Xenopus tropicalis: one gene and its partners. Each later gene encodes a partner of the first gene's protein in a complex. Links are inferred from orthologs where the notes say so. Each region holds a gene or a part of one and is shown in the gene's direction. Other genes may lie near its edges.

Region 1 (3,649 bases):
TTATAAGTGAATATAACACAATAGGAGAGCTGGGGGAAGGAAGACGAGGGAGATTGGTAAAAGCACAAAAGAAAGTGGCGTTGGGCATTGTCTGCCATAGACAATTCAGTTCTCTTTCATATGATAGCACTTGGTTCCTGGTTCTCCCTGAGAAGGGGCTGATAATGCTAGCTAGTAAGACCCTAAAAACTTGAGAACATTTATAACGTCAGTGCCAGAATGGTTGACGCATCTTAGCATTTCAGCTGACGAGGTTGCACCGGGTTATGGGTTCCTCTTGCATGCCAGCAGGACCTTTGAAGTGGAACTGCCTTTTTTGTCGGCCCAGCATGCTGTGGTGTCTCTTGTTTGAAAGGACTCTCATTAATCACTCCTCCTGCTGATCGCTCTGCAGCTCGTTAGAGGGATTCACAGGCTAAATGTAATCACCATCGAGAGAGTGTTTGAAGCTGTTGCTGAGTGTGACTTTTCATCAGACTATTGACCAACCTTATATATTTATCATTCTATGGATTGGAAACTGTGCCATCAACATGCTGTATATTGGCAGTGGTGGTGGACTTGCCCAGATCCCTTTACACTGTTAGGGATCTGGGCAAGTCCTTTGTGATGTTTATGTTTGAGATTGCCACCTTCCCCAATTAATAAGTGGGGTTCCAAAGATGCAAACAGAGAAGAGGGGCAACCACGCCAGGGCAAAAAAGCTGGGTTTTTAGCTTGAAGGGAACGTGTAGGATTTAAGATGGCAGTGCCTAAAATAAAGATTAATACTATCAACTATTTAACACTTCTAGGTTCGTTCTCAAACATGGAGCCTTATTATGGATTCCGTTGTCCCATCTGATAAAGGCAATTACACTTGTATTGTGGAGAACAAGTATGGCACCCTCAACCACACCTACCAGTTGGATGTAGTCGGTAAGTGCTGTACTTTGTTTGTGGCATGGAGGAGCCCTTCTGCCTCTCATTCATTCTCGCTCTATTTCCATTGATGCTTGCCTTGCTGGCTGGCTGCTATTCTTAGTTATGGGGTTGTGGTTAAGTGACCAGCACAATCTAGTTCTAATGCATATGGCAGTGGTTCCCAAAAGCCTTGGTTGGATGGGCCCAGCCTGAAGGCCATAGGAGTTGGATAGTGTGCACGCAAGTTATTTTAGTGAGGTGAGATCCACAGGAGGCAACCCATTAAGTGACTCCACTCCAATGTAAAGGCCTTTTTCATACTTTTTTTCCCCTGATGAAGATCCTCCATGAGTCAAAACATGTAGGGTTTCCTTTTATTTATAGTGTAATTTTTTTTTTTTTTTTTTAATCTGGAACAGATTTGGGGATATGCCCATTTACTTTCCTAGGTTCTGCTGGAAGCCCATCTTCAAGGTTAATTATAGTAAGATTTGGAGTGAACACTTCTTTAGTATCTTAGATATCCATGGAACTATGGCTGAATGGGAAATTTTGTAATGGTTTTTGTATGTTTGCAACCTTGTTTTGAGCTAAGGAGGGTGCTCTGGGCAAATGTTGGGTCTCAAAAGGGTGCTCGTTCGAATATATCTAAAAGCCACAGGCATTTGGGCTTGGGGGGGGAGGATATCAATTGCTCAGTCCTTCATGGTCACAGAGTTGTAGCGTTAGGGACCCTGGAAAAAATTGTTTTTTAAGTCTATAGTATTTAATTTTTCGCTGGGATTTGTAGACCAGTTTGAAGACGACAGTCTAAAAAAATAATGCGTACCTTAAATACAAGTATTAATCAAGGTTTTGTGCGAATAATTGACTCTGCATTGCTCGGCCTCCTGGTTGAATTTGCGATAGAAATCACCCACGGGCCTGGAGCCGAGGCTTTTTTTGTTGGCGCTTGGGGATCAGAACAAAAAGTCCTTGGAGTTTTTATGTCGAAACTAATTGAAGAGCGATGGCAGGCGCAGGCTAAAGTGAAGGAAAGGAAAAAAACAAAACAAGCCCTTCTTTGCCCAATATCTAGCAGATCGTGAAATTATCCTCCATTTCCTCAAATGAGTAGCCAATTCTCCTCTCAAATATTTCCTCCACGAACATCCGCCTTTAATTATCCTACATATTTTCCTTTCTTTGACTCCCCCCCACCCCCAGCCTGCCATTTCCACCTCACAGAACCTATTAAATTTCAAATATTTCCTGTACAGGGGGCACCGTGGGGCCTGCATTAAGGTGCTGAGTTTATTTATTCTGTCTCCTTGCTTTTCTTCCCCGCTCCTCTCATTACATTCTCGACTGACTTGAAGAATCAAGGCGGCGTACTGATAGTCTGTTATTCCTGGAGACGTAATAAACGTACATAGAGCCTACTCTATACACCACCATTGCATCATCTGTTTCCCGGGATCTGGGATTCATTTCCAGCGCTGGGCCTTTCTTAATTCTAACAATAATATTGGTTGTTTAGCCTAGAATCTCTAGGTAATTGTAACCTTACTGCTGCCTGGGCCATTTTAAGGATAGAATTGTTTTCCCCCCTCTTTACTGTAAAGCCTATGAAAAGCAAATTAAATCAATGGCGAAAGCCAACACCCTGTCCCCCTTCATTTACCAGCCAACTGTTTTTGTGCACCAAGAGTATTTCACTTCTTATTCCGATATAGTAAATAAAACTGCTGCCAATTATTTAGAAGCTGTGTTGACTCCAGGATGTGTATGGTGGGGGCTAAGGAAAATCTGATTTCCCCAAAGTTGCTTGAATAAATAAATAAGACCCTTTCTACATGGGTTTTTATGGAAACCTTCATCATTCATGTGTCTGTTGAAGTAATGAGGTAGCAGAGGAGACATTCTGCTCTGTGATTGGCTGACAAAACAAGTTTTTTCTATATCCAATGCTTTGATTGGCTAAAATCTGTCTTCTGCAGGAATGGAAACAACAAATATTTTGCTCTGAGATATAGCTTTATATTGAAATGTCGTTTTATATTTTTTATAATTTTAGAATACTTCAAAGGCCCCTCTTCGAGACTGGGGTCCAGGACAAATTCCCTGTCTATTCTGTGCTAATAAAAGCTCTGTGTTGTGTTTTATAGATAGGCAAAATGTTATTTTGGTTATGAATAGGATTCCAAAATTCTGTTCTATCGGTGCCCGAACTGCAGAAACTGGTATCATTCCATCTACATGCAGGGTTCAATCCCAGATGCCAAATAATAAACATTGTTGATTTTAGTTCTCCATCTCCACGCTTTGATAAGTGCTACAGTAAATGTAATATTGTTATAGTGGTGCTCCATCTGTAAATAGTGCTGAATTAGTGCTACGTTTACCAATATTTGTTGAGAAAGTGCTCCAGCTACATTGACCTTTGGAAACAACCATTTCCTTCGCAGAACGTTCGCCACATCGCCCAATCCTACAGGCCGGTCTCCCAGCGAATACGAGTGTTATTGTGGGAAGCACTGCTGAATTTTTCTGCAAAGTGTACAGCGACCCCCAGCCTCACATCCAATGGCTCAGGCACATTGAAATTAATGGCAGCAGAGTGGCCTCGGATGGCTTCCCGTATGTGGAAATCCTCAAGGTAAATACATCTGTTGTCCTATGTGCCATGTGTTGTTTGGCTCCCTGCAAGGCGAGACACTCCTTCTGTTACAGTTACGCTTATTTTCCCTTCCTTTTGTTGTTTTTT
Region 2 (3,649 bases), on another chromosome or scaffold:
AGGTTTTTCAGTTTGAGATTAGTTAATTAGCGAATTGCTATATAAACCTGCTTTAAAGAGGTCATGGCTGTAAACATAAATCAGTTGCATAGATGCAGTTCTTTTTTTTTTTTTTTTTACTAAGCTTGACATCAGTTTTGGGACTGATTGGTAACATTGAATCAATTTCTACTTAATTGGTGTACAGTTTTTCTCACTGCATTTTTACGGCACACACCAGTCTTCGGCGCTGTTCCTAAGCATGAAATAGCTTCTGAATCTGGATTTGACTGTATTTAGATTTCTGGGTACTTTGGGATCCATCTAATCTGATTTCAGTCCTTTAATTCTATGCATCCTGCTGAGTGTGCAAATTGTAGGTTCTAATACATTATTTAATATGTACATGTTTAAAAAGAAGGCTCACTTTTCTAAGATATCACATGTGTAAATATGGCCAAAACATAAAAAAAGATCAAACGGTATATTAACTCTGATCTCCATGTTGCCAGAACAGGTGTTCTTTTTATCTATAGCATATGATTTTATGAATTACAAGGCATATTTCAAATCTATTTCGAATCATCATTTGGTTTTCCTCTGTTTTAAGTATTAGCTTCCGGGAACTGAAGACCATTCTTTCACAGGCCAACTTCAAAGCTAATAGCATGAGAGTGCTGAAGGACAAGTTAACGGTAAATGTGAAATGTACTTAACTATTTTGTTTTATTTTAGATGAATTGTGGTTATAAAAAAAAAATCTTATTTTTCCACAGGAGATTGGCATTCAAAGGGATGATATTAGTTTTGAACATTTTCACGTATTCTACAAAAAGCTCATGTTTGAACAGCAGAAGATGGTAAGTTCATATTGCATTTCATGCTCTCCTGAGTATTGTGGATGCTTCGTTATTTTCTCTATATTCTGTGGCTTATTACCAGTTTGCAAGGGGAATATTTCAGTTATTACCTATATTCAAAAGGAGTATTTTGGGTTTTTACTTGTTTTCTTGTTTTGTTTTTAACATGTTATAAGGTTAAACCTTTAACAGCAATTACTGGTGTTATTTATGATTACTGGTCTTAAACACAAGCTCCATAACTTTCTTTTCAATGTAAGTTCTCTTCTCCCCTCAGATACTGGATGAATTTCGGAAGGATTCTTCAGTGTTTATTTTGGGGTAAGGTTTGCTGCTTCACCTTCCTCTTTGGCATTGAGGGTGCACTATTTGGAATTGATTTCTAGTGAATATCTTCAAATGTGGCATTTCCAGGAAAAAGGGAACTTCTACATGATTTGATTTGCAGTTTATATGTATCTACTTTTGTCAGAGTTTCCATGTAATTTTTTCTGCTTACCATGGAAGCCAAAGTGGCATGACAAATGGTTGCACACCCAAAATCATTCTAATGTAAACAATGACATGCAAAGGAGCAACTATTCCTACATTAGCACTACCTGCAAATACCATAGAACTTAGAATTGTAGATTCACACTAAAAGGGTTAAAGTGAAGAGTAACTTTATTATGTCAGAAATAGTAAAGAATTATTACGTATATATATTGATATATACGTTTTTTGCCATGTGATATGTCTTATATTACATTTTTTTTTATGATAGTTAAAATTTTAAGCTCCTTAGCTAGCAGCAGTTTTAGTGGGTTGGGGCAGAAGAAAATGCAAGAAAGATAAAAAAAAAAAATCATCATCATTATAAAGCCTTAACTTGTAACTAACTGGTTCTCACATGGGGGCCTAAATTTATTTACATAAAAACATGTATAAAGAGATACACTTGTCATTGTCATCTCCATTGCCTTCTGACAAATGTCTGTGACATTTATTTAGGCTGTGTGCAAATACAGCTGTAAGCAAATGACGCCACATGTTAAAAGAAATGCCTTGTATGCTTTTATATGTCTCTATTGCCACTTCTAATTGGGTGTTTTTTGTTATAGAAATGTTGACCGCCCAGATGGGTCAGCTGTCCACCTGCATGATTTTCAAAGGTTTCTAGTGCATGAGCAACAGGTGAGAGTAGACAGCAGTGTTAGAAATACTGTTTGATGTGTTCACAAAGTGAAACTAAGGGGCTGATTTACTAAGACACGATTTCGAATCCGAATTGGAAAAATTCCGATTGGAAACTAACATTTTGCGACTTTTTCGTTTTTTTTGCGATTTTTTCGGCGTCTTTACGATTTTTGCGAAAAAACGCGAGTTTTTCGTAGCCATTACGAAAGTTGCACAAAGTCGCGATTTTTTTGTAGCGTTAAAACTTAAAAGGCGCGACTTTGCGCGCAAGTTTTAACGCTATGAAAAAATCGCGACTTTGCGCAACTTTCGTAATGGCTACGAAAAACTCGCGTTTTTGCGCAAAAATCGTAAAGACGCCGAAAAAAACGCAAAAATACGAAAAAATCGCAAAATACCGATCATTACGAAAAAAACGCAATCGGACGCATTCGGCCCGTTCGTGGGTTAGTAAATGTGCCCCTTAGGGGCTGATTTACTAACCCACGAATCCGACCCGAATTGGAAAAGTTCCGACTTGAAAACGAACATTTTGCGACTTTTTCGTATTTGTTGCGATTTTTTCGGCTTCTTTACGAATTTTTCGTTACCAATACGATTTTTGCGTAAAAAAGTTTTTCGTAGCCATTACGAAAGTTGCGTAAAAAGTTGCGCTTTTTTCGTAGCGTTAAAACTTACGCGAAAAGTTGCGCCTTTTTCGTAGCGTTAAAACTTAAAAGGTGCAAAGTTTCGCGTAAGTTTTAACGCTACGAAAAAAGCGCAACTTTTTGCGCAAGTTTTAACGCTACGAAAAATCGCCAGATTTTACGCAACTTTCGTAATGGCTACGAAAAACTCGCGTTTTTACTCAAAAATTGTATTGGTAACGAAAAATTCGTAAAGAAGCCGAAAAAATCGCAAAAAATACGAAAAAATCGCAAAATACCGATCATTACGAAAAAACGCAATCGGACTCATTTCGACCCGTTCGTGGGTTAGTAAATCGGCCCCTAAGTGTCATCCTTTATCTTACATTGTTATATTGTCCCTGCCAGTAAAAAGGTGTTTCTGTTGTGTGTTGAAGATCATTTCCACTGCTGACCCACTGATGTTGTTAATGTGTATTATGGTTTATTATGCCATTTTGCATAGGGAAATTGGATGCCTTTACTATAGGATGAGCTAATTTAGCTCTATTTGCATGGCATTACATTTGTTTGTTGCTTCCTTTCTAACTTCTCCCCTTGTTACTAATGATCCAAAAGTAAAACTTATAAATCCCTTAATATTTGAGATACATTTCTGTATTGCTTCGATATTCTAGTGATATTTGATTCGGCATCAACATTCTTTGTATTTTTTTATATTTACTGGCAACACAACTAGCAGTGATCTTTATTGTTCCTTTTCTTGTAGTAATGATAGACTCCATTTCTTATAAATTAAAACACTGGCAAATGTTTCCCTAACTTTGTGTGCAATGGCAACCAATCAGCACACAGCTTTTGCTGGTCTGCTGAAGTTTGAACTCAGAATGCAAACTTTTATTGGTGTCTGTATGAGACAGACAGATGGTTGTAACAGAGCTGACCTTTTTCTGAACAAGGCTAAATATGATTAATCTGATAAGCAGTCAAAAATGTGACAGCAAGCTT
Region 3 (4,403 bases), about 72 Mb from region 1:
GACCTCATGAATGTTACTTTTGATGTAACCTGCTTCGTGTCGTGACAATGCTTTACATAATGATGTTTTTATGACTAACCCTGTGCTATGTATACTTTATTATCTGGTAGTTGATTCTATCTGTACTTGATATAGTTAACTTTTCAAATTTAAAGAGTGAGTGATGTGTCACACACGGATTGGTTTAACTAATTGGGGTGAGATCTGTATTATGTATATATATGTGTAACCCGTTTTTAACCTTTGGAGCCTATGACTAAGTGCTGGGTAAGCATGAAATGCGTTAGGCAATATACAGTAAATGGGGTTTGAATAATTTTTAAATGTGTAATAAAAGAAAGATTTTTTAATTTCGATATTGGTGCATCCACATTCTGTTCATTCCTATGGGATCTTTTGAAGTGTATTTATCAATGGGTGAAAGTTAGAACCCACCATTTGATAAATATGCTTCTAAAATCCCATAGGAATGAATAGGATGTGGGTGAGTTTCTATGTATTAATTTATATGGGCTCATTTATCAATGTATGAATTTAGATTGTTTGAAAGTACGATTCGCGAAAATTCTTATAGTTAACGATAATTTCTGATGTGCGGCAATGTTACAAACGTTACGATCTGAAAATATTGTGGTACAATCCAAAAGTTATGAAATTTTTGTATCCGATCGTAAACGACGGATGGACTTTGATCCTTCTGTGCATGATTTTGGAAGCCTCCCATAGGACTCAATGGCAGCTCCAACCTGGCCCAAGGAAAGTCACAATACCGAAGCTTGAATGAATTACGAAACTTTCATACTTGTTGCGACAAGTACGATTTTGTGCCACTAATTGTGGCAAGGTATGAAAAAAGTCGTGCAAATTAACAAAAATATTGTAGAAAATATGCAAAAGTTCTAAACTTTAGAAAAAATACTAATCTTTAGTAATCAGACCCGTTGTACTTTAATGAATGTGCCCCCTAAACTCACATATTGATAAATCTGCCCTATAGTGTGTGTGTGTATGTATGTGTGTGTGTGTGTGTGTATGTATGTATGTATGTATGTATGTATATATATATATATATATATATATACACACTGCTGCTTTAGGTGAAAAGGGAAACTGTCAACTTCAATGTTAGGAAAAGGGTCAGCGATAAAAAGTAGAGATGAAATAAAAAGAACTTTATCTCTGCTATTGTCTGATTCCAACTGAAGAAGTGTTTGGAAAGTAAACACTTTTGTCTTAATAAAGACGCGAAATGTTTATGGGGCGAATGATAGGCAGCTTTCTTCACCGTTTGATAGATATACCCCTAACTTGAGCTTCAAACACCGCCATAGTAACCCTGCACTGTAGCTCACCCTCACCGCTCTGCTGACGTCAACTTAAAAAAAAAAAAAGCTCTTTTAAGGCGCGCCCCCGCTGTCTCACAAAAGTCCTGTGCGCGCTCCTTTGGCCGCGTGACCCGGAAGCAGTAGTCCCGGGGGAAGCTGCGCACAACCAGAAGCCTCGGCCCAGCTGGCGGCCTGGAGCCCGGGGTCTGAGTGCAACCCGGGACCGAGCGAAGCCCTGCCGGAACGACATAGAAAGCCGTGAGTAACTTTATTGAAGCGAAAGAATTGTTTGCTATTCTCTCAGCCTTTACTGCACGGCTCATTCGCGGCCACGGAACTCCCACTAAAGATCCACATCATCTACATCTGATCCGCTTATCTGTAAAGCACGGCGGTTTGGGATCGCCAGGTTTGCCCAGCACCCTGATGTGATCGTTGTTCGTGGGAGTGGGGTGTCCGTGTGTGGATGTGTGGCGTTTGTAAGTTCATCTTTACACCGAAAGCATTGTTTTTATACCGTGACAAACCACCTTTTCATATGGAGTTTTGGCGTACGGCTCTCCGGCAGCTTTATTTCGCATCACGTCCAGTCTCTGCATTTATTTCAGAGGGGTTGTCGGGATGTGTAGTTTGTTGCGCTGGAGAGGAGCGAATTTAAGATCACTAGTACCGCCGTGCGCCGAATGCTTCACTCAAGCAGTGTTGTTGTAAGGCAGAGCACTTTCTCCTGGTGGCAAATCACTGTTACCTTGTAATAAGGCATTTTATAGTCGGCATATAGTCACTTTTGGGGTGGCTATCCTTTCAGCGGTAGTTAGATGCAGCACCCAACTTTCTCTGAGAGTTGGATGTGTCTGAAGAACCTGAAGTTTGTTGGCCCTTACTGTCATGCTACAAGGTGCTAACTTTCTTTCAGACAAAGGGGGATCTGCAGCCCCTTGAACCCCTTTTTACATAATGAAAGGAAATGTAATCTTTTCGAATACCCAATTAATGCTTGTTCAGTTGTTCTACAGTTATTTATAAATATAATTGAAGCCAGTATTCCTTTCACTTCTGTTTCAGAATCCCAGGAACAGTGTAGCAGAAGGCAGTTCTCCTTCTGTTAATCAGCTGTCTTATGTTATATTGTTTTAGCAATGAGAGACAGTAGAGAGACAGAGCAGAGAATGTAAACATACTTTGTTCTCAGTACCAATTTTATATACATATAAGTAACCTTAAAAAACTGAATTTTAATTGATTTATATGGGAAAGTTGCTTGAAATTGAATGTTTTTAAATTCTGGTCAGAGAACCTTTTTTTTTTTTTTAGAAACTATTTTAAAATATGATATTCATTACCTATATATGTTCAAAAGCAAAATATGGACAAACAGCTTATTGTGTCTGAAATACCTTTATGGCAAATACACAGTATGACTATCATCTTTTAATGGTAATTCTTAATTATAATAATTGTAATGTATATTTAATATGCACAACAAATGAAAAATACATAAATGTTAGGTAATTATTTTATTGCATGGTGTAGGCTGCCTGGGACATGTTTTCATAATGTTAGTTTTAAACAACTAATCCAAAACTTCATTCGCCCCACTTCCTTCTAAATTCCAACATCACTGCCCTCCTCCTAGACCAAGGGCTATCACATCATAGTCTTAAAGGTGGCCATCCATGGGCAGGTTGTAGTTGCCAGTTCAGCCCCTTGAGACTGAGTCGGCATCTTATCTGCCTGCGTGTGTGTAATCTCAGTATAGCAACATGAAACCTGCACTTTAATTAAAACACAAGTAGCACTTACAAAAACTAATTTTTATCGAAAAATTATTTTAATTTATTTCATATATAATTTAGTCAATATAGAACAGTGTTCTTTTAAGTTCATGCCACCCAGCAATAGTGCAAAATAAGCATATAGGAAAGCAGGTAACAAGCCAGTTAGAATCACCCCGATGTTTAGGCAATAAGCTGTTATCAAGGGGAATTCTGAAAGGCTTGTTGCTGAAAAGTCTGGGTCTCCTGGTTATGTCTTTCTGTATTCTCGTTTTGCAGTATTGCTGGGTGGTATTTACTTAGTTTTGTCCGACATAATGTTTAATATGAATGATTTTGTGGGCACTAGTTGACAAAATTATGTATAAAATAATTTTTCTAAAAAAGACCTGTTTTTTGCAAGTACAAGTTATATTTTATTTAGGACTGTGTTTTATTTAGGACGAGTGGTTGGGTCTGTGAAGAAACGCAAGCATTCTTCCTTATGGGGCTTTACTCACAAAGGCGCGTGTAAACTCGGAACTGAGGTGGAATGCAGAATTCTGCGCAAAACTCGTCAGTACAATCCCTTAGCGTGCAGGATTCTTATAGCTATATTTTCTTGATCTAGTGCCTTTTTATATGTGAGGGAGGCCTTAATTATCCTTGTACCTGTTATCTATTCGTATTATGTTTAGGGTAATGCGTCACGGGGTGATCCTTCGCAAGCTGATAAACACTTGCTGAGAATCAGCCCCTCTGCTCTAAAAATCTTTAAGTTTTGCCTGCACCCAGAAGCATTTAATCCACCGGGGGCAGGCACACACAGTGTATTTCTGTCTGAAACTGCTCAAGTATGCAGTTTGAGGCAGAAATATGCTGCGTGTGCCTGCACCCAGGGCGGATTCAATGCTTAAGGGACAAGGAAAGGCTAAGTCACTTGGGGGTGCCAAAATGTTAGGCACCCCCAAGTGACTTTAATAGCTTACCTTGTACCCCGGGCTGGTGCCCCTGTTAGGAGAAAACAGTACCAGCCTGGGGTACCTGCGAGCGAACAGGAAGGAGGAAGCGCTGCAGCTACCCCGGGCTGGTGCTGTTCTCTCCGAACAGGGGCACCAGCCCGGGGTAGAAGGTAGGCGATTTAAGTCACTTGGGGGTGCCTAACATTTTGGCACCCCCAAGTGACTTTGCCTTTCCTTCTCCTTTAAAGATTTTGAGAGCAGAGGGGCTGATTCTTGGCAAGTGTTTTTCTAGTTATGGAGGTAGTTCAGAGTTAAAATCTTGCTGGCGGCATGGCTGCTGACTTTGTGAATATATAAATAAA

What was found.
Region 2: the proteins of fgfr1 (region 1) and plcg2 are in contact, whole or in part, in a cryo-EM structure (PDB 8JQI), measured with the Homo sapiens proteins. The link is inferred for Xenopus tropicalis from reciprocal best matches to the Homo sapiens genes FGFR1 and PLCG2. Residues at the interface, in NP_075598.2 of Homo sapiens: Lys504, Asn506, His541, Lys542, Lys598, Ser602, Tyr605, Gln606, Arg609, Glu612, Tyr613, Ser616, Lys617, Lys748, Asp755, Arg756, Val758, Ser762, Gln764, Glu765, Tyr766, Leu767, Asp768, Leu769; in NP_001412678.1 of Homo sapiens: Phe528, Arg540, Thr568, Phe569, Pro570, Asn571, Phe577, His585, Cys586, Arg587, Arg589, Ser590, Thr591, Met592, Gly595, Leu601, Thr602, Asn604, Leu622, Arg623, Cys624, Ala625, Glu626, Phe627, Glu738.
Region 3: the proteins of fgfr1 (region 1) and frs2 are in contact, whole or in part, in an NMR structure (PDB 1XR0), measured with the Homo sapiens proteins. The link is inferred for Xenopus tropicalis from reciprocal best matches to the Homo sapiens genes FGFR1 and FRS2. Residues at the interface, in NP_075598.2 of Homo sapiens: His409, Ser410, Gln411, Met412, Ala413, Val414, His415, Lys416, Leu417, Ala418, Lys419, Ser420, Ile421, Pro422, Leu423, Arg424, Arg425, Gln426, Val427, Thr428, Val429, Ser430; in NP_001036020.1 of Homo sapiens: Asn25, Val26, Asp27, Asp28, Leu33, Leu47, Thr49, Arg50, Asp53, Ser54, Val55, Trp57, Leu60, Cys61, Leu62, Arg63, Arg64, Tyr65, Gly66, Tyr67, Asp68, Ser69, Leu71, Ser73, Phe74, Gln81, Thr82, Ile86, Phe87, Ala88.

The regions. Positions count from the first base shown.
Region 1 is NC_030679.2:130,973,672-130,977,320, forward strand, and holds part of fgfr1 (fibroblast growth factor receptor 1 precursor), read left to right. Parts: intron 1-794; coding exon 795-918; intron 919-3,350; coding exon 3,351-3,541; intron 3,542-3,649. UniProt on the Homo sapiens protein: Tyrosine-protein kinase that acts as a cell-surface receptor for fibroblast growth factors and plays an essential role in the regulation of embryonic development, cell proliferation, differentiation and migration.
Region 2 is NC_030680.2:64,101,037-64,104,685, reverse strand, and holds part of plcg2 (1-phosphatidylinositol 4,5-bisphosphate phosphodiesterase gamma-2), read left to right. Parts: intron 1-589; coding exon 590-674; intron 675-755; coding exon 756-839; intron 840-1,116; coding exon 1,117-1,160; intron 1,161-1,939; coding exon 1,940-2,012; intron 2,013-3,649. UniProt on the Homo sapiens protein: The production of the second messenger molecules diacylglycerol (DAG) and inositol 1,4,5-trisphosphate (IP3) is mediated by activated phosphatidylinositol-specific phospholipase C enzymes. It is a crucial enzyme in transmembrane signaling.
Region 3 is NC_030679.2:59,065,606-59,070,008, forward strand, and holds the start of frs2 (fibroblast growth factor receptor substrate 2), read left to right. Parts: upstream 1-1,539; 5' UTR 1,540-1,583; intron 1,584-1,619; exon of another isoform or gene 1,620-1,804; intron 1,805-4,403. UniProt on the Homo sapiens protein: Adapter protein that links activated FGR and NGF receptors to downstream signaling pathways.